Lonchura striata: one gene and its partners. The protein of the gene in region 2 interacts with the protein of the main gene of each other region in a biochemical or structural test. Links are inferred from orthologs where the notes say so. Each region holds a gene or a part of one and is shown on either strand. Other genes may lie near its edges.

What was found.
Region 1: the proteins of DLG1 (region 2) and MAPK12 interact in a test that uses a peptide from one of them, tested with the Homo sapiens proteins (2 studies listed by IntAct, with this or other methods). The link is inferred for Lonchura striata from reciprocal best matches to the Homo sapiens genes DLG1 and MAPK12.
Region 3: the proteins of DLG1 (region 2) and PTEN form a complex in vitro, tested with the Homo sapiens proteins (2 studies listed by BioGRID and IntAct, with this or other methods). The link is inferred for Lonchura striata from reciprocal best matches to the Homo sapiens genes DLG1 and PTEN.
Region 4: the proteins of DLG1 (region 2) and CRIPT form a complex in vitro, tested with the Homo sapiens proteins (3 studies listed by BioGRID and IntAct, with this or other methods). The link is inferred for Lonchura striata from reciprocal best matches to the Homo sapiens genes DLG1 and CRIPT.

The regions. Positions count from the first base shown.
Region 1 is NC_134607.1:30,007,340-30,014,962, forward strand, and holds the start of MAPK12 (mitogen-activated protein kinase 12), read right to left. Parts: upstream 3,004-7,623; 5' UTR 2,917-3,003; coding exon 2,801-2,916; intron 1,639-2,800; coding exon 1,509-1,638; intron 1-1,508. UniProt on the Homo sapiens protein: Serine/threonine kinase which acts as an essential component of the MAP kinase signal transduction pathway.
Region 2 is NC_134612.1:15,040,741-15,047,569, forward strand, and holds the start of DLG1 (disks large homolog 1), read right to left. Parts: upstream 3,001-6,829; 5' UTR 2,935-3,000; coding exon 2,916-2,934; intron 2,644-2,915; coding exon 2,512-2,643; intron 1-2,511. UniProt on the Homo sapiens protein: Essential multidomain scaffolding protein required for normal development. Recruits channels, receptors and signaling molecules to discrete plasma membrane domains in polarized cells.
Region 3 is NC_134609.1:37,601,496-37,608,825, forward strand, and holds the start of PTEN (phosphatidylinositol 3,4,5-trisphosphate 3-phosphatase and dual-specificity protein phosphatase PTEN), read right to left. Parts: upstream 3,023-7,330; 5' UTR 2,942-3,022; coding exon 2,863-2,941; intron 1-2,862. UniProt on the Homo sapiens protein: Dual-specificity protein phosphatase, dephosphorylating tyrosine-, serine- and threonine-phosphorylated proteins.
Region 4 is NC_134605.1:16,914,679-16,921,752, reverse strand, and holds the start of CRIPT (cysteine-rich PDZ-binding protein), read right to left. Parts: upstream 3,006-7,074; 5' UTR 2,948-3,005; coding exon 2,932-2,947; intron 1,087-2,931; coding exon 1,021-1,086; intron 602-1,020; coding exon 547-601; intron 1-546. Other genes in the region: PIGF (GPI ethanolamine phosphate transferase, stabilizing subunit), read left to right, coding at 3,141-3,368, 4,998-5,089, 5,952-6,068. UniProt on the Homo sapiens protein: As a component of the minor spliceosome, involved in the splicing of U12-type introns in pre-mRNAs. Involved in the cytoskeletal anchoring of DLG4 in excitatory synapses.

The DNA of each region.
Region 1 (7,623 bases), on a different chromosome or scaffold from region 2:
TTAGTACACAAACCTCTTCTTTCTGTGGCCCACAGTGTTTCCTAAGATTGTAAATCATTCCTTTCCTTCATATATATTGATTTGTAACTTGTACACATTGTGCTCCGGTTCCCCAGTGAGCATTTTCTTCAGGACACTTTAATTACCAATTGAGCCCACAGGGAAGTTCTAGAGTATTATTCCACAGGGCATACACTGTACAAAACCTGTTAGGAGTGGAAAATGCTACCCAACAGATTATTCTGGGAAATGGAAGAAAAATAATCTCAAAATTCTGGACACAGGAGCTTGGCAACTGTGCAGGCTGCTCTGCTCCCAAATGTTCAGTAAAGAAAACGCTGAGAGTATTAAAGCCCATACACAGAAGTTTCCTGCAAACATTAACTCTTAAACATATGGAGTAGAGGTTATGGGACAGTTACTTTGAAGTATTTAGATAAAAAGATTTAGATTAAAACAAGTAGACAGTTTCTTAAGCCTACAAAAAGCTCTTTTGCCTTCTGGACTGTCAGGATAGCCTACAAATTATTCTTCAAAAGAACCTAGTTGGTACTCACAATATTAGTATTATAAAATTAAATAGCAATGTCTAGTTATTGTTATTACCATTTTCTCTCATGCTTTTGATCTCTCAGTTTTTTGTGAAGGCACTCTGAATGGAGGTATTCTCTAATCTTCCACATCAATTAACATTTTAAACTATGTTCTTATGCATCATTTTAACAATTCCCTCCAAACAAATAAAGAGTTTTTTATCCTATGCATTCTTCATGAAAAGCACTTAAAAATACTATGGTAACCCTCCAAATCCACCCTGGGACTCTTCTCACCTGGAATCCATGCTTTGAGACTCTGTAACAACTGCTTTTGCACAAACTTCTTTATTTTTTTCCTAACTCTTAAGCAGTATTGGGACCATGAATCTTTCTCTCAATCACACTTTCAACATTTCTTTCTACAGCTGTTCTTTCATGTTATATGGGAATTATGTGCAGAATTCTATTACCTATTCTCTGTTTCACAGTAAAGCAATTTGTTTAGCCACTTGTGGACTTTTCCTGTTTCCCATTAATATCAGCCTGAAAGTTTCAAATGCTTCATAAACGATAAAAAGGGAGAAAAAAAGAAATAAAAAAGGAGAAAAATGCTAACCCCGCCTCAGAGATATGCATGTGTACATCTTCATGAAAGCTCAGGGGAACAAAAAAAAAAAAGAAAAAAGATAGAGACTGTAATTTCTGGTCTTTAATCCCTCTCACTAGCACTGAGCAAATTGCACTGTAGTCCTAACCTTCCCCACCCAATTTTTCCTACGTGGAAATTAAGTGGTGTTTCGCACAGGATATTCTAGTTTGTGTGAAGTGATATTTGTAGAACAGGCAGACAAAAAAAACAGGCTAAAAGATTCCTTAATTCCATTCAGGTACACATCTGCCCTGTCCAAATATACATATTTTCTTTGATTTAGAGTGTCTAAGCTGTGGTTTTGAGCTAATGACTCAACTCACGTTTTCATGTTTCATGTGTTTCAGGAGACGCAGTTCTCGGTATGCTCGTTTGGCAAAGAGTTCAGACTGAAACGGGCGGTACAATTTCTTAATAGCCACTTTGGTACCACTTCTTCCATCGACGGCTGAGCTTTAAGGGAAAAGATAGAGTTCGGTGAGCAAGGACCGAAGCCTGTCTGCAAACCCCAGCAGACGCGGCCAGCACCGGGCAGCGGCTGCATCCTGCCGGGCCTCGGGCCCGCAGCCGCCCGCGCCAGCGGGGAGACCGGGTCCCCAGAGCACCTCTGCAGGCAGCCATCGTTTAAAAGCCTGCCAGATCCTGTGATGAAATGTAGACAATTATCAAAAGCTTTAAAGAGGAACATCTGCGGAGTGGGGGAAAATTCCCAAACGAGAAACAAGACAAAAAGATCCCACTAAACACACAAACCCACCACCAACGCAGAGCCAAACTGCGTTTGAGGGGCCCGCCTCAAGCGCTAAAACACCTCGGGCTCCAGGGAGCCGCTCCGGGGTGCCGCGAGCTGGGCTCGGCAGCGCGGCCGGGGCAGCGCTCCCGGGGCCGGGGCAGCGCTCCCGGGGCCGGGGCAGCGCTCCCGGGGCCGGGGCAGCGCTCCCGGGGCCGGGGCGGGGGCAGCGCTCCCGGGGCCGGGGCGGGGGCAGCGCTCCCGGGGCCGGGGCCGGGGCCGGGGCAGCGCTCCCGGGGCAGCGCTCCCGGGGCCGGGGCAGCGCTCCCGGGGCCGGGGCAGCGCTCCCGGGGCAGCGCTCCCGGGGCCGGGGCAGCGCTCCCGGGGCAGCGCTCCCGGGGCCGGGGCGGGGGCAGCGCTCCCGGGGCCGGGGCCGGGGCCGGGGCAGCGCTCCCGGGGCAGCGCTCCCGGGGCCGGGGCAGCGCTCCCGGGGCAGCGCTCCCGGGGCCGGGGCAGCGCTCCCGGGGCAGCGCTCCCGGGGCCGGGGCAGCGCTCCCGGGGCAGCGCTCCCGGGGCCGGGGCAGCGCTCCCGGGGCCGGGGCGGGGGCAGCGCTCCCGGGCCGGGGCCGGGGCAGCGCTCGGGCTCCGCTCCCTCGAGGGACGGAACACCCGCGGCTCGGCTCCCCCTGGCGGAACAGCCCGGCCCGAGGCGGCCAGGTGAACAGCGGGGCCGCCCTTGCACCCGCGGGGCCAGCCCGGGTCCGGACAACAAACGGGAAAAGTTGGCAGGGACCAACACGCCAGAGGGCCGGCCCCGGTAGCATCCCCGGGCCGGGACTGAGGCCGCCGCCCCCGCCCCCGGGCTGTCCCCGCAGCCCCGCTCACCACACGGCTCCGTAGGCGCCGGACCCCACCGGCTGCAGGTCCCGGTAGCGGTCCCGCACTTCCCAGAGGGTCTTGGTGATCTCCTGCCGGTAGAAGCCATTCTTGGGGGAGGACATGGCGCTGCCGACCCCCGCCGGCCCGCGCCGACAAAGAGCCCGGGCCGGGGGAGCGGGAGCGGCGGCGCCGCCGAGCTGGGCTGCGCCGAGGGGCCGGGCCTGAGCGAGCGGCACCGCCCGCCCCGCCGCGCCCCGCCGGCGGCACCGCCCGCCGCCGCCGCTGCCCGGGACCGGCGCTGGGATCCGCGGCTGCCCCGGGACCGGCGCTGGGATCCGCGGCTGCCCCGGGACCGGCGCTGGGATCCGCCGCTGACCCGGGACCGGCGCTGGGATCCGCCGCTGCCCCGGGACCGGCGCTGGGATCCGCGCCCGCCGGCAGCGCCCTGCATCCCTGCTGCCCGGCCGCCTGGGGCTGCGCTCCGCGGGGCGCGCAGGGCGCGGCGTCCCGGCGGCGGCGGAGCGAGCCCGCACACGGGGGCAGGTGCCGGGGCTCTCGCTGCCCGTGCGGACCAAACCCCTCCCGGCCGGCTCTTCCCCGCCACGGGGCCCCCTCACGCCTGCCTTGTTTTGCCTTTGTGCTCAGGTTCCGGTGAGGTGCCATCGCTGGGAGTACCAAAAGTGAGCTTTTGGATAGCCTCTGCCCTGAGACGAACTGATAGGTTCCCAGACCATCCCAGAATGACACTACAAGTTACAACAATATTTCATATAGTTAAATAAAAACCACGCGCTTGGTTCAGGTGCTCAGAGCAAGTGGTCCTGCGCATGGATGAAGTGAACTGGAATTGAACTGTTGCAGCACTGGCTTGAAATTATTGCAGTGTTGGAGTATGGACAAGAGCAACCTTCTCAGTGGCTCTGTAGTAAACAGGCCTGGGCCAGCAACACGTGTAAGGCAAAGACCAGGTTTAAAATAGGTTTTATGTGTTCTCTGTGTGAATATGATTAAAATTCTTGTCCTCCAGTGTCTGGTAAAGCCTTTGGTTTTTTTTTTTTACTTCACCCCTGAGCAATGTTGCTGAGGTTATATAATTTCAGATTTGCTGTCACTGGAGTTCAATTTGTGGTTTAGCTCTAAAGGGGCAATCTGGACAAGTTTCATGGCCATTTTGGTAGTTGCCAGGGGCCCTGCCCTTTTGGTGCCTGACTACCAAATGTGGAAGAGCTGCCCTGCCCTTGCTCCTCCCGGGGTACAGAAGAGCAGAGCCTTCCAGCTGCCAGGTGTTCCAGTGCTGCTCTCTGCTGACCTGTTCGAATCTCTGTGTTAGTGAGAAAGGAGAGCAACCCTCTGACATTTAGCAGTTAACATGAGGCTTTGTGAGAAGTGTTAGATCAATGGTAGATATTTACTTTTAAAAATCCAGGAGATTATTTTTTAATTTGTTACATCCCTTCTATGCTGTTTGCCATTCCGATGTTAGCTGGTGTGATATGTGGTACAGGTAAGGTGAAGGATAAAGTAGCTTCCTCTTTTTTCAAACTAGACCATTAGTTAAATTACTTTTAATTACCATTTTATATGTTTCTAATAGAGGCAGGATTAGTTTTGCTTGTCATCCCTCACCTACTTTTCCTTGATCTAGTTGTGACAAAGTGGTACTTTTTTACTGCTTGCTTTTTATCAAGGCAGAAATTAGGTTATTTTGATACAGTAGATAAAAGTACTAACTTAGCATCAAGAGAAGTTCACTCTTGTGCAGAAGCTAAGAATATTACAGAGCAACTTTTAAAAAACATTCTAAATGGACAAAGTTATCCACTTCTGGTTTTCCCATGTTTTTCCTTCAGTAAATATGTAGGCATACTTTGCTACAGATGGATGAAGTAGCTGTGTAGGTCAAATATAAGACCAGCTTTCCCACCAGGTCACACATACAGGAGATGAGCTGGTAAATTTACTGAAAAGACTATGAAATCAGCACTGTTGTAACAAGGGAAGCTTTGTCTAATAAACCATTCAAAATCTCTGTGAAAGGAATAAGTCAAGAACTTGGGTCCATCCACAGCTGGTAGATGTTAGAGCAGTGTCACAAACTGCATGAGTCTCTGCATCCTGCTAGGCTCAGCTGGATACGTGGTGACGTGTTTTCCCAAAGACAATTTGTTGCCAGGGGACTGATAGATGCTACAGCCATATCTTATTCTGGGCAATGTGTGCTTGACAGGATGGATTTAAAAAAGAGTGCTATCAGATGTTTCTACTTCTGGCATACATTTATTGTAAAGTTAATAGAAAAAAGGAACTTCTTCAGACATCATTAACAAAAAATAATAAATGCATTAATGGTGCAAAAATTGCACTTTGCTAATGTTCATCCTATAAAGGGAAGATTTAAGATGTATCAGAATGTGGTGGGGTTTTTTTAAGAGTCAGCTTTTGATGTGCTGGATGGTTGCCATCAGCTGCAAAGCATATGAGGTAGATGGGATGGGTACAGTACTTTTTCTAATCACTCTGGGAACTGAGAGCACAATTTCCCTCCAGCCTGGTGCTGGAGCAGAAGCTCTACAAGCAAATAGTGAGAAATCGAATAGTTTTTCTGAGAAATCCTACATTTATGAAGTCTGGTGAGAGAGTTTGATGGCAAAGCTGCCACCATAAGCTGTCACTGGGAGATGACAAAATGGCACAGACCTGTTTGTCAGGAGCTGAACTGTGGGTGAGCTGCTGGGCCCTGGGTGCAGGGAGAGGGGACTGACACTGATCTCCAGACCAGGCACTGATAACGTGCAGGAAAAGAGATCATACAAAATCCTTTGAAGAATCAAACATCTTCCCACCTTTCTGCCTGTTTATATGTCTGTCTTTCATATGATCATTTTATTCTTGATACACTAATTCACATATTAATAATTTGGCTGTGTAAAACATACCTTAAATGTCAATAAACAAAATCTTGCTGAATAGTCAAAAGCTGATTCCTAGAACATTATTTTTTAAAAAAAGTTTTCTATATGCCCACCTTCAAAAAATACTCTGTGCTTGTCTACTTAGATCTGTTGCCATGGAGGAAGTAAGTTAATTCTATTTATTACAACAGGAAGTAAAGTTTAAAAAATAGTAATTAAAAAAAATCTCAGTTTTAATAGGAAAATATTCTTGTGCTATTTTGTCCCCACCCTTCCCCACTGGAGTCACTGCCAACTATTTTGCAACTTTTCTGATTTTGTCTCTCTGCTCAATGAGCAGGGTGTTTCAGTTCCAGTTCTGTAACATGTAGCCTTCCTGGGGGCCTTGCCATGTTTCAAGGTCACTAAGCCATCAGAAGAAAGGAGTAAATAAATATATACACCTAAGTGCTTTTTTATTTTAAAAAATAATTAGAAGTATACATTACATTTTTTCAAGAGGTCAAGTGAGACCTTACTAGTAACTATATACTACCCCATTATCCCTGCTTCTTGGAGGTTGGTGGAGGAAGAGAGGCCAATTGTAGAGGGTAGTAGACACCTATATGAAAATCAACTACTTTTAATGCTCTCCTTTTCCTCCTCAGAATCCACCAAAAGGTCCTCTCCTACAACAGAAGGATTTTAATTTTTAAACTGTCACAGATTGTTGCAGTATGAGACGCTATAGTCTACAGAGTAAAAAAAAAAAAAAACTTAAAGAATTTCCCAACCTCAATGCAAAAATCGTATGAAAAGAGCATTAATGGATATCACTGATAGATAGCTTTACTCATTTAATATGTGACAATAATTGGAGCTGGGGGACTATGGGAGTGCAAAATGAAGCATTTGTATGTATGCAAGATTGAAGCCTAATTGAAGAGTTTTGCTCATTGAAATTGAGCAAAATTGAAATTTCTGGTCTAATGGATTAAGTCTCAGATTGGTTGGAAGATCAGTGTTCAGAAAGCTCACGATATATTCTGTCACTGTAGTGAAAACTTAGACCCTTTTAGGTGTATCAGTTCAATATTTTATTTTACAGCAGAAAGAAGGGCAGTGGCAGCAACACTAATGTAGCTTTCTAAATCTCTTGGTACTAGTGCCTTAAAACCCCTTACCCAGAGTCATAGATTAATGAGCCTTGGTACTCTCACTTGTGCTAGTGTGCTGATTTTCTAAGAACCAGCGTTCGCATCCATAAACACTATCAGCAGTAGCAGCAATGTGTGAGAAAAAAGCAGCTGCTCTTAAAGCAAATGGAAGTGTTGCTATTAATTCTTTCCTAGGGAGACTGATCTTGTCAAGGTTGAATCCCTTTCTGCTGCTAACAAAAGACATCGTTTACTCAATCGACAACACAATTCTCTTTTCATGAGGGCGAAATCTTTAACACTGCTCATCTGTCAGGGATTCTTGGGCCAAGTCAGTAATTTACAGATGTAGCAAAGGATACTAATTTGTGCTGGCAGCTCTGTATGGTACTTTTTGGACAGATTCATCTTTGATCAGGTCCCAAAGGTGGGTAAAGTGGAGGTCTGTTTTCTTGTTATGATCCAGGAGCACATGTGACAGGAAGAAAGGAAGGAAGTAACTTTTGTATTGACTGCTTCCCACCTCTGTCAAAGTTTCTTTTGCTGCCAACATTTTGTCCTTGAAAGGGTTGTTTCCCTCCTGACCCTTAGGGTGAGCTTGCTGTGTCAGATCCTGCAGCACAGGATCCTGACCCTCCTTCCCTCTTGCTTTCATCTGGTATACCACGTCAAAAAAAAAACAAACGCCAAGAGCACAACCTAGAATTCTGCCACAGTGCTGTCTAAATTATGACTCTAGCTATTGATATTGACGTATTTATTTTCATATATCAGTATTGAT
Region 2 (6,829 bases):
TTGCCAAGTCAAAAATTATACTAAAAAAGATGCATGAAGTTGACAGCAGATCCTGACTACAACCTTCACAAACCTACCTACTATGGGCCAACAAGTCTTGGATATAGTGCAGTAACTTGGCAGAAAAAGGAGAAACTAAATGGATGAAGTTTGGTGGGGATTTTTTTTTAGAGTTATTCTATTAAAAAAAAAAAAAAAAAAAAAAAAAAAAAAAAAAAACAGAAACTAAAAGTAGCACACTTTCTGGAAGAAGGATCTACAAGAGAAATAACTCAGTATAGTTGAGCCACATTGAGAACATCATTTGGCTATTTCAGTTGGGAGCACATCACAACTTCTATAAAATGCACACTTCAAATTGAGCCATAAAGCAATAACCAACAGAGAATTCCAGGTAAGTCTAACCCCCAGCACAACTGAACATTTCATCCAGCCTGCTCCCAGATCTTCATGGAAACAGGACAAGAAGGAGCCAGCTTAAGGCCTTCCCAGTAACTGAAGCCATCCTCCAGATCACAGCCTTTCCAGCGAGCCTCCCCACTCTTTTTTACCCCCATCATGCAGTAATCACACCATAAAAGAAGGTGCTTCCAGGAAAACAACAGCCAGGAGCAGCCTGTCAGGGACAAGAACTCCCTTGACATTTGCACAGAAAGTAACAGGTTAAAGGAGAAAGACCCAAGTTGAGAGCATAAATTGCTTGGCAAGTACCAGCCTTCTGCCAGATGGTTTGGGAACATATGTATGCAATCTAATAAACTATCACACAGGGACCCAGGAAATGCAAAGTTAATGCAACATGCCCAAGAAGCACCTGCTGTGCATGCACAGATGAACTCAACAAGAACTAGGGTCCTGTGGTTGCAATGTGCAGCTTCTTACAAGTCCAGAAAACAAGTGACACAGTCCACCCAGGCAACAACCCATTCCTCCTTTCTGCTCCTGCAGACATGAGGCTGCCTGCTCTTTCAAGTCCACTACTACTACTAGGTGTAGAATTATAAACAATGAACATTTATATATGGAGGGGAAAAAAATACATCTTGCAATTTGAATATCTAAGTCTAACAGATTGGTATCTTTTCAATGAAGGGGAGAAAACAGAGTACTGCATGGACCTTGAAGAGTTTTAAAATAAAAAACCTTCATACATACACACACCCAGAACAAGAAAAATGGCAGTCAACACTGAAGTTTTCTGGGTGAAAATAAAAAGTGCTGCTGCTGTACATTAAATATTTGACACAAGATTTCAACATTCTGATCTGCCAAAGAGTGAATCCGTTCACATGGTCCCACAAGGATTATGTTAACTCTTCATCATGGAGTTGATTAGCATCAACTGTCTAGTGAAGAGAAATGCAGAGTTCCTATAAGGAAAAGTCTTTTAAGTGACCTATTTTCACAACTACCCCACAGGAAGCTACATGTTAAGGAAAAAAAACATCACAACCACTCTCTTCTGAAAATCTACACATGATAAAATAAACACTCCAGAAGAAAGCATTCAGCAGCAACGCATGTTTATGCTTTTCCTGTCCCTGTGCTTTCACCAGAACACAGGTTGGAAGAAGCTGCAGGCCTGTGAAGGAAGATGTGCACCCTAGCACAGTAGCCATGTAGTAAGTCAAGTAACAAATATAGCTACAATGTTTGCCATTAGTCCCACCGATTCAGACAGTGGTTACTATTAAAAGACAAGGATACAGAACAACTTTTATTCTTGAGGGTAAGCTAACATTGACTGTCATAAAGATAGTGACAATCAATCAAGAAGAAACCACTTCTCACTGTTTCTCTGCAGAAGTTTCCAAATAAAGACAGGATTCTGCAAGTTCTATTTATGTTCAGGGTTTTTTTTTTTCAACCAGACCGGCAGGAAATTCAAAATTACATGCGACTTCTTCTATGAACTTATGGGAACATATCAAGTCAAGCACTATAAGGACTGTAAACTGAGATCTAAAAGTGCTTTCTCTATACTTTTATATGCAACAAAGGAGAATACTCTAGTACTCCCTGAAGCATTAGAGGTTTCCTCTCATTTACTTTAGGTTAAATTTGCACTTCAGTTATACACTTTGTGTTGTTTTTAGAGAATCTTCAACCGGAATTGCGGCTTCCTTAGACTAAAAACATTTCAATTCATTCACTAACCTGTTACATACAGACAGAAAAAAAAACACACCCTCCTTAGAAATTTATCAGGTGAACAAAGATGCATGGAGAAACAATCTCAAGAAATCTAGGACAACATGTCACAGAATTAAGAACTATTCCAGAGTTTTAAGCAGTTTAGACCAGTTAAAAACCTCAAATAAAGAAAGTACGTGTAACAAGTGAACTGTTGATCTGTAACAACACGTGTGTTACTATGCAAAACAAAAACACAACGACAAGCACATGGCTTTTAACTTACGGGTAAAACACCTTTTGCTCTTAACAACACAAGCGACAACATCAGCAAGAACCGACCGGCTTGCGCACGAACTGAAAGAAGCCAACGTTTACCTATCAAAGCCTGGAAAAGGTTACTTTGGAAGATGCTGATGACACGCTCGATGGAGTTCCGCAGCTGCCGATCCTCCGCCTGGCTCAGCTTGGAGCGGTATTCCTCCAGGAGGCGCAGGGCTCGCTGGGTATCTGCAAGCGGAGAGCAGGCACACTGTCCGGGGCGCACCGGGCAGGAGCCCCGGGGATGCAACAAGCCCCGGCGGCCGGGACCGCCCCGGCCGGCGCGGAGCTCCTTTGTTCGCAGCCGGGAGAGCGCGGGCGGGACGGTGCCCCCGGCGCGCTCGCAACGCCCGCAGCCCCGCGGCTCCCGCCAGCCGCCCCCCGCCCGTCCCGCCGCGGCAGCGGCCGCCAGCCGGCGGCTCCGGCGGCCCCGGCGGCCGCGGCCCGGGCGCGGAGCTCACCTTGCTTGCGGACGGGCATCGCGCCCCGCGCTGTCCCGCCCGGGGCTGCCCCGGGGCTCCGCCGCGCGCACTCGGAGCGCGGCCCGGGGCGGCGCGGGGGGCGGCGCCCCCTGCCGGCCGGGCGCGGGGGGTGGCGGCGGCCGCCCCGCCGGACCGGCCCCGCCGCCCGGCGAGCGAGCGGCTCCGCGCGGGGCTCCCGCCGGCGCCGCCGCGGCGCGATGCGGGGCGAGCCGGGCCGGGCCGGGCCGGGCGGGACAGCGCGGGGCAGGCGGCGCGGCGGGCCGGGGCCGGGGCGGACGGGGCCGGGACGCTCCCGCCACCTCCCGCCCGCACCGCTCGGAAATTCCAAACTTTCCAACCAAAATGGCGGCCTGGAGGCTGGGGGAGCGCACCCCCCCCACGTGACCGGGCCCGGCGGGCGCCCAATCAGGGCCCGGCGCGGGGCCGGCACCTTGGCGGCGGGGGGGGAGGAGGCAGGTGAGCGCTCCCCGCCTTAAAGGGGCCGCCCCGCCCCGCCCCGCCCCGCCGCGCCCGCCACCGCCACCGGCACCGGCACCGGCACGGCGGCGGCAGCGCCGTGAGAACCGGCCCCGGCGGAACCCGCCCCGAGCGCCCCTGCACCACATCGCCGCCGCCGTCCCCGGCGGTGGCGCCCGGCGTGGGCTGCGGGAGGGCGGGAGCGCTCCAGGTGTGCGCCGGGTACCTGCGGGATCGCCTGTCCCGGGAGTGCGGGAGTTTCCGGGCCACTCGCACCGAAGCACCGCCATGGTGCCGTGGGAGTGCCGGGCACGGAGCGGCTCCTGCCGCGAGGAAGCGCAGGTGGAGCCGTGCCCGGCCGCGGGGAGCCCGGGGCCGCCTTTCGCAGGGCCTGGGACAGGCAGGAGGGCTGAGGGACCTCGCTGGCCTCACCGGCCTCCGCAGTCAGTACCACACAGAGCACTGCCACCCACCTGGTGCTGGGGCTTTTCCCTCAGTCGTCCTGGAAGAGCAGGATGAGGAGGAAGGACTCGAAGAAAAATAAATAGCTTTGGACATAAGGTCAGCATAAGGACATCACAGGAGAAAACATAAAAAGTTTAAGAAATGGGCTGTATAGGCTGACATCAGGGACTGGTCAGAATAATGATAGTCACTTTCTCAAAACTGGCATGGAAATGGTAATAAGTTATTTTCAAAGGCAAAACATCTTGTTTTCTTTTAAGATGGCAAAGAGGTAACAGCATAGAAATAGGTGCCTTGGACATATGAGCTAAATGGTCTTTGCAGCATATTCTATATACCCACTAAAAGGAAATGTATATTAAAGCTGGTGGATGTAGGAGCATCCCTTGCTCTAAGAGGGAATGTTAACTTATCTCTCAATGAGATGGACAGTCAACCAGAGCCCCTGATCTGATACACTTCAAACCCTGTAGGTATACATGTATGAGAGGCAGAAAGAGACTTGAAAGTTCAAGGCAAATACTGCAGATGGGGGGGTGGGGGGGGGGGAGGTTGTTTGGTTGGGGGTTTTTTTGGTTTTTCATCCAAGCTCACATTTCCATTTACACTTGTTAGATTTAAGCACAACTGAAAATGTTCAAGAACTTACCCAAAGAACCTAAAAAGAGCCTCCTGGGCAACTCTCATAAATTTGAAGTCTAAAAATCAGATCCAGACTTCACTTTGGCAAGCACCTAATCTTAAGGAATATTACACCATGACAGATCTAACCTAGATCTAGAAAAGGCCTCTCTCTTTTCCCTCCCCAATAGTCCTATGTTTTGTTCTTTGATTTGTGTCAGGAGTTTCTCCTGCTCCCATAGCTATGTACTGTGAAAGTGTTCACACATCTCATTGAAGCAAGCAGAAGATACATTTAGTGCTGACACACAATTGCCCATTTTCTTCCTTTCTTGTTGTATTTTCATATCACAGAATTTTGGCACCAGCTGGTACCAGTTCAGATATTTTGAAATGAAAGCAGGCTAAGAAGAGACATTGGCAGAAGCCTCCATCATCTGGCCTCATCAGTTTTCAGTGTTTACAACAGCAATAAATGTGCTGTAAAGGGGCAATAGCCCTCTTGATGTCAGAGGAATGTATATACAGAAGGAGAGGAAGAACAATCTAAATTTAGCTAGCAGAAAGGAGACATCTGCAGCATTTTGATTGGTTTTGCTGACTGACAAAAATGTATTATTACAAAAATAAACTTTTTTTACTATTAAAGGAACCACTATAAAGAAACTATTTTTTTATATACAGTATTTGATGTTTCCAAGTCTTTTTTTATTTTAAATAAGAGATAATCCCATTACATACGGTCACTGTGCTGGGGATAGCGAAATAATCCCATATATAACACCCTGAGACAGCATTTCTCACTTGTTACTAATGCTCTAGGGGAACAAAAAAAAAAAAAAAAAAAGAAAGAAAGAAAACATCAAAGAGGGGGTCAGGATGATGGATCAGCAAGTCAGGAAGCAATTAGGTGAGCTTTATTGTACCTCAGAGAATGATGTTGCTTCCCGGCACTTCTGTTTCTGTTCTAGGAGTGTATTTGCTGATTGAAAGCAGTTGAACCAGAAACACAGTATTAAACTTCAGTATGAAAAGTGGGTTTGAAATTCCAGCACATATAGAAAATATCCCATGAATGGAAAATTACTTTTTGCTAGCAACATTACAACTAGAGACAGTGTTGCAAAATTGTCCTGTGTTACATATCATCTTCTACAGGCTCCAGCTTCCAGGAAATTGTGTAGTTTCCTTGGAGGAGGGGAAAACTGAGTGTGAACCAGAGCATCATTTGTGCCACGACTTTAACAATATCATTTAAATCAAACCACTACAGGCAGCATACAGAAAAGCTTGTACTCTAAACTGTGACTGATGTGGTCAGTATAGAAGTCAGCATTATGCTTAACACGCCCTGGCTGTGCTCCAAAATGACCCTTGGCATAGGAACTCCAGGACAATTACACAAAGCAGCAGCCCATTGCCACTTTAGTCCTCAGATGCATCTGAGGATGTGACCAGTGGCCTTTTCCCACTGCCCTCAGATTTCCTTTAAAATCCCTTTTGCAGCTGCTGCCAGGAGTGTGCCTGGGATGTTCTGCTGGGATGGTCTCTGGTAGGGACAGGCAGCTTGTTGCAGCACACATACTGCTTAGGAGGGATGTGTAATACAGAACCAGGCAGCTTTTGGCAACAGGGACGCCGGCACAGCACAAGCTTTTCCCCTGGAAAACCTTCTATAACAGCCACCTGATCCTAGCCCATGTCATTTGTACATGGGGGGGAAAAGCAGCCCTGTGTCAGAGCCTAATAATCCCAGTTTCATAAACTATAGTGAAACAGAGATGATGTTTTCCCACTTTGAGAAACTATGCCAGAACTTGTTGGCAGCTGCCTGCTCTGGCAAGTGATCATAGTAGTGAGCCCTGCCACAGATTTGTACCTGATCCTACACCAGCTCCTACTCCTCAAAGCAGTCCAGCTGCCACTTTAAAAATGGCTCTTTCTGCTTTAGAAACTTCACCTGGTCAGCTGGCACCACACTACAAGGAGCAAGAATGCTGACAGGCTTCTTATGTTTTGAGGCAATCACAATTTGGCCACAGGCTGGGCAGCAGGACATGGGGGGATTGACTTCATGCCAGCTACCTGGTGAACCCCTAAGTCCCACTGGAGCCAGCTGACAACGTGGACTTCTCAAACTGGCAGTGGCAGTGGATGTGTTGCAGATGATGTCCCACACAGTAACTGGAGAGGTATAATGAACTCAGAACAGGAGACTTCAAAAACCATTCCCTAGATTCACACACAATGTCAATCAACACAAGAACACCAAGAAAAAAATGACAGCAGACATCATCACATGGCAAGAATTTACAGTAATTAGTATGGCCAAAAAAATACAGTAGTTACAA
Region 3 (7,330 bases), on a different chromosome or scaffold from region 2:
TCCCTGCAGTAAAGGGGACATCACTAAACTGCACAATTTCAGAAGTAACACACAGAGTGCCTCAGAAAACATTCTGGTGCTTGCAGCATCAAGAAATGCAACCATCAAAGAAAAGACATTAATCCAAACCTTCCTTCTCACCCATGTGCACCAAAAAGTATACAGTACTGCAGAAATTAATTAAAACCCAAATAAACCAGAAAAACATCTGAAGCATTAAACAGCTGATTTAATGTCTCCACCTTTAAAACCTTTTCTTCCAAGTTCAAAATTTTTTTCCAAGATGTGCATAAATACTGCTCAGAGAAAACATCTGATTAGAAGACAAGCAGCAGCAGTGTGGTTTTTAAAGACACACAGGCCCATTTTCATGCTCTGCAATGATTTTGGGAAGATGCTGTCTCACTTTGCTGAAACAAGGATTCTTAAGCAGCTCCTCAGGAACTGAGGGTTCCAAGCACAATGTCCTGTACTGCACATATATCAATATCACTTTTAACAGGATCTGGCACAGCCCAACCAAGGATTTTGGCACTCCAGCACCTCATCCAGCCTGCCTCTGGATAATATCCATGCCCAAAAGTCTCTGGCCACAGGGGACACTGAGACAGGAAGGGGCAGGAGAAAGGGCAGAGCACAGAACACAGGCACCTCACCTGGACTCACTGCAGTTCCTTCACTCTCCAGCTCCCAAAGCCCAGGTGAGCAGCAGCTGCTGAGTGTTCTGGAGCTGCAGGAGGAACCCAGACCTCCATTTCCCATTCCCAGCCAAATGCTGAACTCCTGGCTGCCTCTCCCTTTTAGCTGGACAGAGGCAGCTACCCTGAACTAACCAGGCTTCTCTAACACCTGGTCCTCCTGCCATGCCCTGTTGAACAGCTCACTTGGGCTCCAGGTTTTCTCTTTTTTCCCCTTTATATGACACGGTTGGAGAGCTAAATCCATGGCCATGTGTATAAGGAATACACAGGCAATTTCCCAGCTACCAGGAATGGTGGGTAACAACTCCATTGGAGCCTTGCAAAAAGAATCCTGCACAAAGTGATGAAAAAAATTCAACTTTCACTTCCGCAGCAACATCAGCCTTCAAGCAAAGCCACTGCACAGGCAGAAGTCTTCATTCATTAATTATCTGTTCAAAATGTGCAGCTACAAAAAAAATTCCATTTCTTCCTATGATATTTTTTTATCATTAAAGAAACCACACCATCTTTTCCACAAATTTCACGGCAGAACTGCAGCCAGCTGCTCCTTTTAGAAATACCAGCCTAAGCCCAGTGTAATGGCCTGCCTTAACACAATATTCTAATAAAAAAAATTAAAAATAAGCCATCAGTTCCATTTGTCACATTATTAGGCAATCTTGAGCAAGAAAGTCGAGGTTCAGCATTCACTAATTTTCTTGCTGGGAGCATATGACCAGTTAAAAAGATGCGTTTGGGACAAAATCTCTCTCCCTACCAAAGGCACATCTGGGCAAAGATTCCTGAAATACCAAACTCTTCAACTGTGAAGGCAAAACCTTTTGGTTTTGCTACCACTTAACTTTTTCCATAAAGCCAACAAAATCACCAAGTGGAAACACCTAAAAATCCAGGCCTGAAAGTATTTCTATCACAAACATAACGCAGGAATAATAAGCCAGAGCTTCTGGGTTTTTAACTAAAAGCCAAGCAGCCACTTGCTAAACTCCAGAACATTTCAGGTTGTTTTAAAGCCACCAAAATTTTTAGGCCAAGGCCCAATGCAAGAGCTCTGTACTAGCTACAGCTTTTATCCCGCTCTAAAACTGGATTTATTTGGAGCACTTGCTCAGACAGACTGTAATTGCTCCAAAACCCAATAAATTTCCACCTAATCCCGTTGCAGAACGGAAAACATCTCTCCACAGGGAGAAGTCCAGCTCCGAGCACTACTGTCAGTACTCACTTTCCCAACTTCTAAGCAAAGTTCTTGCCCCAAAACCTCTCCCACAGCACCAATCTTTCACCAGCACGGAGAAAGACCCTGGCGCCAGCAGAGCCCCTACCCACCATGAACGCTGCAGGGCATTCCAAGCTAAACATCTGCCTGATTCCGCTCCAACACATCTGTTCCAAAGGCCACTAAAACTACACACCGGCTTTTGCCTCATTAGCCGTAATTGCACGCTAATTACTTATTCCAGAATAAGTATTCTATACAATCCTCCTCGATGAGACCCGACGCGCTCTCGTTTGTGACACATCCTCGTGCAGCTCACCGGGGAAAAAAATGGTGGGTTCTGGTTGGTTTTTGTTTTTTTTTTTTTTAAATTTAGAAGGAGTGATTGCCACCTCTTGTCATGGAGAGCCTTGCTGTATCCTAAGGTACAGCTCTGCCTTAGTGGAGGGCTGGAAATCAGGGCAGAGGACACAGGCTTCGACTGAAGCAACCCGAGGAAAGCCACAGGCCTTGCCACGATTATAATCGCAACTTAAGACGAGTTACTAAATTAAAAAAATATCTATCTAGAAAGCGCTGTGCACGCAAATCACGTCGGGTCGGGCGCATTTGCTGCGTGAGCCCAAAAGCCAGCAGCAGAGCCGGAGATAAGCGGCTGCTCCGGAGCGGCCAGGGGCTCGGGGCCGGGGGGGCACGGCCCCTCGGCGGCTCGGGGGGGCCGCGGGCCGGCCGGCAAGGAGCGCTGGCGTTAATCCTGGAGCTCCCGTTAATCTGCCGGGCCCGGACAAAAGGCGGCCGAGGCGGCGGCGGCGGCGGGGGAGGGCGCGGCGGCCCGGGCGAGCCCCGGCGGCGGAGCGGCCGGGGGCAGCGCGTTAGGTAACGCCGCGCGGGTCTGATGCAATCGCGGGACGTGCGGGAGCAGGAGCGGGAGGAGGATACAGGTCAGGTCCAGGTCGAAGCCATCCTCCTGGTATCGCCTTTTGTTCCTGCTGACGATCTCTTTGATGATGGCGGTCATGTCTGGCAGCCGGGGGCCGCTCCGGGGCAGCGCGCAGGGCCCGGGCGGCGGCCGCGAGGCACCACCGGGCGGCCCCGGGCGCTGATGCTCCGGCGGCTCAGCCCCGGGCGGGCCCGGCTCCCGGCGGCGGCACCGGCTGCCGCTCCCTCCTCCTCCTCCTTCTCCTCCTCCTCCTCCGAGCGCGTCGGGAGCCGCGCCGAGCCCCTGCGGGCGGTGCCGCCGCCGCCGCCGTGTTTGGGGCGAGCGCGGCGGCGGCGGGGGGAGCAGCTCTGCGGCGCTCCGGGCCCCGGCAATGGTGACAGCGGCGCGGGGCGCGCCCCCGGCCCGGCCCCGCTCCGCTCCCCGCCCCGGGGGCCGGGCGGTCGCTCCCTCGGCTCTTCCCGGCGGCGGCTCCTCAGGGCGGCACGGCCGCGCTCATCCCCCGGCCCGCAGCGCTCGCCGGCGCGGGGCGCCCATCATGGCCGCGGCTTCCGAGAGGGACGGCGGGCGGCGCCGCCACGCCCACGCGACGCATCCGCCAACACACAAAGTAGTCCCTCCCACCCCGCCGCCGGAGAAGCGGACACGCGGCGGAGCGGGGGCACCGGGGGAGCGGATCGCGGTGCGGGCGCCGTCCGTACCCCTCTGCCCGCCGGCTCCCCTCGCCGCACGGAGTGGGCGGGGGAGGGGGGAGCGGCGAGCGGAAGGATACGGGCGGTAAGGTGAGGCGGCGCGGTGCTGCGTTGGGTCACGTGGGCGCTGGCGGCGGCGCCTCCCCCGCGGGCGGAAGTGGCCGTGAGGGGCCGTGAGGGGCCGTGAGGGGCCGAGCCCCCCGAGCCGGGACTGCCGCCCCTCGCCTCCCCGCCCTCCTCGGCCGGGCTGGCCGGGAAGAAGGCAGGGGGAAGAACGGGCTCGGTGCGGCCCCGCGGGGAAAAGGAACGGGGGGGTGCTCAGCCCGGCGTCTTGAAGGGGCTTGTCGTCCTCCCCTTACGCAGCCCGGGGGAAGCGGCGGTGAGCGAGCGCCTGTCGCCCCCTGCAGCCACCGGGCACGGAGGGAAGGGGGCTTTGGGCCACCTGCTGCCCTCGGAATGGCAGAGTCATTGAGGCTGGAAAATCCCTGCCAGCCCGTGGAGTCCCAGCTGTGCCCAGTGCCCACCTTGTCCCCAGCCCAGAGCACTGAGTGCCACCTCCAGGGATGGGCACCCCAAAGCTCCCTGGGCAGCCCCTGCCAAGGCCTGAGCACCCTTTCCATGGGGAAATTCCTCCTGATATCCTCGGGGTAGCCTAGCTCGGGGACAGGGGCATGCCAGTCCCCCCAGGTCAGGCTGGCTGGCCCAGCAGCCCGTGGTATTTCCATGGAGCTTTCTGTCCATTCTCCTTCCCACAGTGATCACAGTTATCCTGGCAGGGAGAAAACCCTGTCTACAAATGTCTAAAGCAGTCTTTATAACTGTCTAAAAACATTAGGGGAGAAACCCCATTGTACAAGGCTCTTTGCACTCTAAGCTGAGAACTGTAACTGTAAATTTTGGGAATTTAATGTTTTGCAGGAAAATGACCTTTAAGGACTCAAAATAAAGTGGAACATCAGGTGGAGGGATTTCCCAGGCTGCTGCAGCCTCCAGCCTTTGCAAATACTCTTATATAATTCCTTTCAGCAACGTATCAAGTTGCATCTTGAGATGTTTTACCACCACTATTCCCAGAACCTCCTCCTGGTTTTCAGGCCAAATATATTTGGGGCTGGTCTGCATCCACTTATCCTCGTGCCAAGCCTGGCCTCCAGGAGCACTTTGTGGGCACAGAGATCCCTGTCAGCCCCCTGGATTTCTACATTCCTCCTTCCCTCCAGCTGCAAACCCCAAACTGAGAGAGTGGAAGTGTCCAGGGCCAGACTGGAGCAAGGTGGGATGGAGTGGAAGGTGGCACAGGGTGGAATGAGCTGGGTGGAGGTTCCCAGCCACCCCAGCTTGTTCTGTGTCTGAGTTTTAACTTGTGTTCCCACCTCCTGGCTCTGTTTTCAGGTGGGAAGTGTTCCAACATGCCAAGGGCTTGGGGACAGAGCTGCCACCAACACTTTTCCCCCATACTTCCCAGTGCATTCCTTTTCCAGAGAGCCCATTGCACTGGAGCTATGCATGGAAAACCCACGTGAACTCAGGGAAGGAAATCAGTCACGACCCTGGGCACAATCCCTCAATATCTGGGTAAACTGGAGCCCAATCCAATCCACACCTCCTGCATCCCCACCACCCTGAAAAACTGCACTTCCCCACGTCTTGGAGATGTATTTTTCCATGGGATTTCTTTCAGGGGTTGCCACCACAACCGTAAGTTTCGAGCTGCTTTTCCTCCTGTGTGTGTGTTTGCGTTTCTCCTTAATTGCACCAAAACAGATGTCACTTTTTTCCCAGGAGTGGGAAGAAAACCAGAAGGGTCCTAAATATTTTCCTCCAGGAATGAATGAGCACAATGGTCCACACGAACTGAAAAACAAAAACCCCCAGAAGATTATAATCTTTTTTTACCATCAAAGCCTGCAGGAGCAGCGTGAAAGGGAAGGACTTGCCTGATCAAATCGAAATAATTTCTTCCGTGAAGAAATTCCTGCTGATGTTCCACCTGAACCTCCCCTGGCACAGCCTGAGGCCATTTCCCCTTGTCCTGTCTTTGGAAAACCTTGGCTGGAGAGAAGGGCTGAGGAGAAACTGCCAAAACTCCGGGTTAATTACGGCTCTTAGATCTCGTCATTTCCACCTTTTTCCTGGATGTTCTTTCACTATGTGTATGTTGGGAATACGTGAGACACGTTTTATATCGGTTATGTACACATGTGTATGTATAAAATATATAACTATATGAAATATGCCTATATATGCATATATGTGTTGCTTTATATTTATAATTTTATATTTCTCTTCACACGATGTATACGTTATGAACACAAATGTTACGTGTTAGCGGTGTGAAAAACGCCAATCACTTGGTTCTTAAAATTTTAAAAGTTTAATAATAATACTAAAATGGTTATAAAAATAGTAATACAATTAGAGTAATAAAATCGAGAGTCAGGACAATTACAAGACAATAAAAAGCAAAGAATTACGGAGGTCCGGATGTTCTTGGATACTAAGGAAAAGCATCCCTTGTGAACAAAGGAATAACCTTTAAAGCAATAGCCTGTTGCATATTCATATATCTCATAATTGATGCATAAATTCCTTGCAAATTAAGAACTTTTCTAGTTTTTGTCAACTTATTCCCCTTAGTCCTGGTGGTTCCATAAAGACAGAGAGAAGGTGGAAGAATGTCTTTTTCAATAAGGAGGCTGTAACTCTTTATGGGTCTCTTTCGCTGACATCTCTGTGTGAAGAGTTTCTTGATTATCTCATCCGCCTGCTTGAGATTGCAACAAATCCTTTATCGCAGTTTCTATTTTTACATAGTGTTGCAACCTAAAACTACATTTAACACACTACTTAAGAGAATTAAAACAGCAAAACTGTCTAACATTACACATATAATATTGTATAATTTGCGAAAAGCCAATCATAAAACATGCATTTTTCACAGTGGGGATGGAGCGGAGCTCCCGCTGTTCCAGCCGGGAGAGCCGTGCCCGGGGGTGCCGGTGGAGCCGCTCGGTGCTGATCCCGGCCCTTCCCGGCCCTTCCCGGTCGATCCCGGCCCTTCCCGGTCGATCCCGGCCGATCCCGGCCCCGCATCCGGTGGGCGGAACCTTCGCGCGGGCCGCCGCCGGCCGGAACCTTTGGGCGGGGCGGCGAGCGCCGCCCGGACGGAGGAAGCGCCGGACGCGCCGCCGCCGCTGCCGGGCCCTGGGCGCCGCCGCCGGCGTTCGCTCCGCTTCTCCCGCCGCTCTTCCTCCTCCTCTCCGTCCTCCTCCTGCGGCTCGCCCCGCCCCGCGTCCCGGAGAGCCGCCGCACGGTGAGTGACCCGGCGGCACGGCGGCGGAGCGGCCCCGCCGCGCCGCACCAGCCGGGCGGCGGGAAGGTCACGGGCGGCGCGGCCCGGCCCGGCCCGGGGCAGCCGTGACGGGGCCGCCCGGCACCGGGGGGAATCCCCGCGCTGCAGGGGCTCCCGGGGCAGGCCAGGCTTTCCCGGCAGTGCCTCGGTTTGCCCTCGGGGCGGAACGGAAAGCAGCGCCGCTGCCGCTTTTGGTTTCCCTTCTGCGCCTGAACGGGGAGAGCGGAGCCGCTGCGGGCCCGGCGTGAGGAGTCCTCGCCTCAGGGAAAGCAAACGCTGAGTTCCTGCGGGTTTGAGCGTTTGGGTGTCGTCAGGAGTTCAGCTTCTCTCGTGTTCAAGCTTTTCCTTTCGGTTGGCGCTCAGGGCACGGGTTGCATAAGGAGCAGGTTCCTGCACGGGGATTTTGGGGAGGTTTTCTCCTTGCCC
Region 4 (7,074 bases), on a different chromosome or scaffold from region 2:
GCAAAAACTGTAATTTAGAAAAGAGACATGCAAGAATTATTTCTAACAGGCTACACAAAGTATGCAGAAAAGCTCCCACTTTCCCTATTGAGAGACATTTCTTCCACCACAGACAACTTCATGAAAGCAGAACAAAAAATATTTATTTTTATTAAGATACTAAATGACTTTGAAGTTAAACACCTCCCAGCAGCATCTTGCCCCCTTGCAAACAGAAAGTCCTGCAGACATGCAGGAAATGCTCAAGAGATTATCCTGGCAATATTAGCACAGAAAATAAGTATTCTCAGCTTCTCTCCTACAAAAGCATCAAATCCTAGCAATTCCAGTGAGAACTGCAGCAAAATACTCCATGACTGAGCAGAAAGCACCCATGAAATATGTATGGACATATTTTTACCGACAAATCAAATACCTTAAGTCTGCAATTTTAATTTATTAAGTGTATTTGGACAAGTTTGGAGTAGCTGCCCAGCTATGTAGGAAACAGGTCTCAGTTAGTTTGCTAAATGATGTTCTTGGCCAAAATCAGTATTAAGGACTAACCTTGCCTTCTTTGAGGTCAATGCCTTGTTTTCATTTAATTTGCGACCACCGCTTTCTAAAAAAAAAAAAAAAATCAATAACCCCATTCCAACATTCCAAGCATACTTTAAAAATCCTCATTTACAACTTTTACACATATGCAAATAAAGTCACGAAGAGAGATTAAATATTCAGCACAGCATTGGAGACAGGGTAACAGAACACTTTATGCTCTGTTTAAATACTCTATGTATTGTCCTCCCATGCAAGAAAGAAAAAAACTCCAGAAAACAAAACCAGACCAATTCAATACCAAAGAGTTCTGGACAAATAAATTCCCAATGCATTAAATCAGCATGGGAGGGAAAGTACATGACTTAATATTTAACATGATTAGTAATATAAAGTTTTGGTCTTAAGATGTTAACATAGCTCAGGTGCACAGCTGGCTTTATAATACCTCAAAACCAAGCTGCTAAACCTTGCTGAGGTTACCTGTAGTGTTTCTTGCACCATCTTTCCATGTATCAGGAGTGATCACTGTTCCAAGCTTCTTCTCACCTACATAAGGAAACATTACAAAGGAAAAAGCTAAGAATCACGGAGTCAATTACGTTGGAAAAGCCCTCTGAATTTGTCAAGTCCAACCTGTGACCAATTACCAGCATGTACCTCGACCTTGGCACCGAGTGCCACATCCAGTCTTTCTTTAAGCACCTTCAGGGATGGTGACTCCACCACCTTCCTGGGCAGCCCATTCCAAGTCTCCATGACTAGGAAAGAATTCTGAATGTCCAACCTAAACGCGCCCTGGTCCAGTTTAAGACTGAGTCCTCTTGTCCTGTCACTGGTAGCCTGGCAGAAGAGGCCCGTCCCCACCTGCCTACAACCTCCTTTCAGGGACTTGAGGAGGGTGATGAGGCCATCCCTGAGTCTCCTTCTTTTCAGACTAAAAAACCCCTACAACCTCGGCTGCTCCTCATCACATCTTCTGTTCCAGACCCTTCACCAGCACTGCTGCCCTTCTGTGGCCTTGCTTTGCCACCTCAATGTCTTTTTGTAGCGAGGTGCCCAGAGCTGAACAGAGCACCTGAGGTGCGGCTTCACCAGTGCCGAGCACAGTGGGACAATCCCTTCCCTGGCCTTGCTGCTCACGCTAGTGATGATACAGGACAGAATAATTTAAACGATGCACATCGATATGTGCCACAGGCGGAGAAGGACAGCTCACACAGAGGAGAAGGACAGCTCACACAGGGGAGAACCACAGCTCACACAGGGGAGAACCACAGCTCACACAGGGGAGAAGGACAGCTCACACAGGGGAGAAGGACTGCTCACACAGAGGAGAAGGACAGCTCACACAGGGGAGAAGGACAGCTCACACAGGGGAGAAGGACTGCTCACACAGGGGAGAAGGACTGCTCACACAGGGGAGAAGGACTGCTCAACAGGGGAGAACCACAGCTCACACAGGGGAGAAGGACTGCTCACACAGGGGAGAAGGACAGCTCACACAGAGGAGAAGGACAGCTCACACAGGGGAGAAGGACAGCTCACACAGGGGAGAAGGACAGCTCACACAGAGGAGAAGGACAGCTCACACAGAGGAGAAGGACAGCTCACACAGGGGAGAAGGACTGCTCACACAGGGGAGAAGGACTGCTCACACAGGGGAGAAGGACAGCTCACACAGAGGAGAAGGACAGCTCACACAGGGGAGAAGGACAGCTCACACAGGGGAGAAGGACTGCTCAACAGGGGAGAACCACAGCTCACACAGGGGAGAAGGACAGCTCACACAGGGGAGAAGGACAGCTCACACAGGGGAGAACCACAGCTCACATAGGGGAGAACCACAGCTCACACAGGGGAGAAGGACAGCTCACACAGGGGAGAACCACAGCTCACACAGGGGAGAAGGACTGCTCACACAGGGGAGAAGGACAGCTCACACAGGCGAGAAGGACAGCTCACACAGGGGAGAAGGACAGCTCACACAGGGGAGAAGGACTGCTCACACAGGGGAGAAGGACAGCTCACACAGGGGAGAAGGACTGCTCACACAGGCGAGAAGGACAGCTCACACAGGCGAGAAGGACAGCTCACACAGGCGAGAAGGACAGCTCACACAGGGGAGAAGGACAGCTCACACAGGGGAGAACCACAGCTCACACAGAGGAGAAGGACAGCTCACATAGGGGAGAACCACAGCTCACACAGGGCCCTGCCGGGACCGCCCCCCGCGGCCTGCCCTGAGCAGCCCGGGACCCGCGGCTGCCGCTCCGCTCAGGGCAGCCCTGGATCCGCTCAGGGCAGCCCTGGATCCGCTCAGGGCAGCCCTGGATGCCCTCGGGCAGGCCCAGGCGGTCGGGCAGCCCTGGATCCCCTCCGCCCCGTACTCACACTTGTCGCACACCATGGCGCCCCTCCGCCGCCGCTTCCGGCACCGCCCCGGAGGTGCCGCCGGCCGGGCCCCGCCGCCTTCCGCTGCCGGGCGGGGTTTGGCTTTTCGAACGGGCGCTGCTTCCTGCCCCAGCACCCTCCCCTTCTCCCGCCGCCGGGCCCGGAGCTCCGTCCCGGGCCGGGGCGATGCTGCGGCGCTGCCCGGCGCCATGAGCGGGGCGGAGGTCGGGCGGCTGCTGGCTGCCAACCTGCTCCGCGCTCTGGCCGTCGTCCTGGCCGCCCTGGCCCCGGCTTTCCTCCTGGACGGATTCAGCGTCCTGGGAACGCACCTCACCTGGCTGTGTGTTTGTTCTGTCTGTGTTGCTGCCCTCGATATAATCTTGCACTTAGTCCTTAAACCAAACCAGTCTCCTAAGAGACGTTCCTTTGCTCACAAGGTAAGACTTTTAAAAAAAATTCTTACGTTGTTGCCAGTCAATCCAGAGGGGAAGCAAATTCTCTATCTCATTTAAAATAATCAAATGAAAAAAAACCAACCGATTTTTGATGGTGAATTCTCATTTTCTATCAGTGAGTTGAGTGTAGCATCTCTTGAAACAAATTTTTCAGTATTTTCATGATGTTAAACTTTCCCTACCTGTAAGTAACCTGTTCAGATGAGTGAGTCTATGCTTTCCTGATTCTTGCCAATGCAATATTGTTTATTGTCCCAGGAATTTGCGTGGTGGCAAAACCTGGCAAAATTAAATGGCACAGAACTAATTTTGTAGTCCAGGCCTGACTCATCTTCTTGGTAAGTGGATATACCAGGAAGAAATGTCATCACACGTTCCTCATGTGGAGTTGTAAGTTTGTAATAACTTTAAGAGGAAAAAAAATAAATTCAGAATCTGACACATAAAAGAGATACTATGCTACATTTCAACAACTGAAAAAAAAATTACATGGAAAGGTATTAAAATGCCTGCATTTCCTCGTATGATGAAATTTGCATACAGATCTTAATTTGGGAGAAGCTTTTTGTAGTTAGTTTGCAACGGGGAGTGTTAAAGGTGTGAATCCCAATGAAATACTTTGGAACAGAGTGGTTTTGGAGCAGCACACGACTTGCCCAGCAGTGGAGGAATACCCCAGGGTTTTGAAATCGGGTGGGGATAGTCTCACTCCTGACATGCTGAGCCAGGCAAGATGTAGTGCTCTGAGGTGGTTCTTAAATGTTTAAGTGATCTTCCCTGCCAGCATCTCTTTGTGTGCAAAGCTTGTGTATAGTTTTGCTGACTGAGGAGGATATGAAATGCACAAAACCATGATGGAAAGCAAGTATTTTAACCATCCATAATTTAAAAATGAAGCACACATCATGTTCTAGGTGAGATTTTATCCTAGGAAGAAAAAATAGGTAGGAGTAAATATAGAAAAATAAGGGAAGTTACAGATTCAGAACAGACCTGATCAAAACAGACCTCACCAGAACTGTGTATAAAGTGTTTTTGCCTCTACGTGATACAGTGAGTACCCAGAAACTGTTAAGTTCATAGAAAAGTGTATATATATAACTTACAGAAAGTTATGGATATTTCTCAAATATATTCAGAATTTAAGATGCCAAGTTCAAAATGTAGTTTTAGTTAATGTAATTTTGAATCTTTGTTTAGCAGACTTTTAATATATTGTATGTTTTCTTGCTTTTAAATTTTTTTCACTTTTTGTGAGAGTTGCTTTTTAATGAATGGATATGACAGATGTAAAACAGAAGTGTAAAAATGTCCAATAAAATTACTTCTGCTTATCTTGTAATTTCTGGTTATATTTTTTGTATGTTTTCCCTGTTTTAATGGGATGCGTGAAAAAAAAAATTGTAGGTGGATTGTGATGATTTTAAATTAATTATTTCAAGTACTAATATATGGAAAACTGTTTTGAAATATGCCATGCTATTATATTGTGCTTCAGCTGAAATTAAAGTACTAATCAGAATACAATGCACTTGATAAAGATTTAGAGGGTGTGTGTTACTTATGTTCTGTTTTGAAGCATTATTCTGATATTTCATTGCTCTTTTTTAGATATCCAGATTTCTAAAATGCTGTATATACTTTTTCATGTCTTGCATACTATTTCATGCGATTATTGTTCTTTATGGAGCACCTCTCATAGAGTAAGTCAAAAGACCCTCTCTTTCTCTAAATATTCTAAGGGGCAGCTCTCCCTGCAGATGTTGGTATAAATACTTGTGTATTTTCTCGTACACTAGAAGTTAAGGGATAAGCTCCTAGCTGGGGGAAGAAAGGTGGCTGTTTCAGCTTTCTCTTGGTTTTGGGTTGGTGGTTGGTTTTTTTGGGGGTTTTTTTTGGGTTTTTTTTGCTTGTTCAGTTGTTTTGTTTGGAAGCCAGCTTTTAAATGAGACTTCTATAAATAAAAACTGTAATACAGTTACAAACAGCTTCTTTAATTTTTATGTTCGACATATGGGCACAAATATTTTTTGTAGCTTTATTTAGTCATTTTCCCTATATGATTCTAAACCACATGGCTTGTCTTTCATCCTTTTGATGTTAGTGTTTTAACTTTTTTGAAAGTTTAATGAAAGAAGTGTGAAGCAACCTGGGTTTTGAAAGATATACTAAGTTGTTGACTAACAGTAGTTTAATGTAGTTTGGTTTCATGGTTGCTGTTACAACTGGAAAAATGGAATCATTAAATTGGTAAATATCCAAGAATACTTCAGTTTAGAACTAATGATCTATGTGAAGTACACCTGTGGTTTTTTAAAAATATTACAGGTCTCAGCCATTTCAAAAAATTACTACATCTCACTCTTGAGATAACAGCAGAACTCTTTCAAGCTTCCTTTACTATTCTACAGAGTAAGAAAAAAATATTTTATTCCTTTATATGAAGTTTAAGAAAGCGAACATGCTTTCACAAGTTGAATGAGAGGGACTTTGTTCTTCCTAAATCTTGGAACTTTTAGAAAAACCACCTCACTTAATTTTGTAATATTCTTTTTCTTTTTGTAGGTTAGTGACTGAGACATTTTTGTTTGCAGTTCTTCTGTCTACATACACTACTTTACAATGCTTGTGTTTGCTGGGACCAAACATACAGGCATGGATACGGGTATTTAGCAAAAATGGGTAAGTCCTAATCTAAAGTTTCTGATATTTCTCTGAATAGAAATGGACAGAATTGGTACAAAAAATATATAATAGAATTTTTTGTAAAGAAAACTTCCTGGATGATGGGTGGATTTTGTATTTGTGATTACAGACATATGAGAGCTCTTCTGACAAAAAGATTTATTTGAAGACACCGATTCAGAAAAATGGCTTTTTTTTTTTGGTGTTCAGATGCTAAATCTCACTTTATATGTGTTTGAAGGAAGTAATGTTTCCAGCCCATATTCTACTGGAGTAAAAGCATTGTGCAATCCTGTATGATGGTTGACAAATAAAGGGGAGACCTGACACTGAGCTATGCATGGAGAATCTTACACATGATCCAGTAGTACCTTCATAAATGCAACTTTTAAAGTAGGAAAAGGAAGTCAAAACAAGCACTGTTTGAAACTTGAGTGTAATGTTGAAAATTATACTATGTTCTTAAGTATGTATTATTAACCCATACTATTTTCAGTTTCAAAGAAAGCTGTTTTGAGTGTCAGAGTTTTCAGGCATTAATTTTTGCAGGAGTATGTTTAAAGTAAAACAAGCCTTCTAACCACATTTTCACCTCCAGTGGCAGCCATGGCATTAGCATGTATCAAGGATAATGTATTTTTCAGAAGATTTCAATTTCTTCTGCCTTTTTTCATTCCATAAATAATAGCATGTTGAAAGACTGGGACACTGAAGCATAAAGAGGCTTCTATGCTTGAGATCTGGTGAGATTTTAGTATTCATTCCCTTTTAAAAGTTCATAATGGCAAAGTCTTATCTCAGAAGACAGTGAAAGGTTGTATTACACTACTGACCTATGGAATTTTTTTTCGTTTGCACTCCTGTAGAGGAGAAGACTTAAATACTACTTTCAGGTATTAAATTTTGGTTTATCTCAGTTGTCAACTTACTGAAAAATATCTTGGATCCTTATTCAAGTAATTTACACTTTTTTTTTTCAGTGGCAGTGTAAATACAATAATAA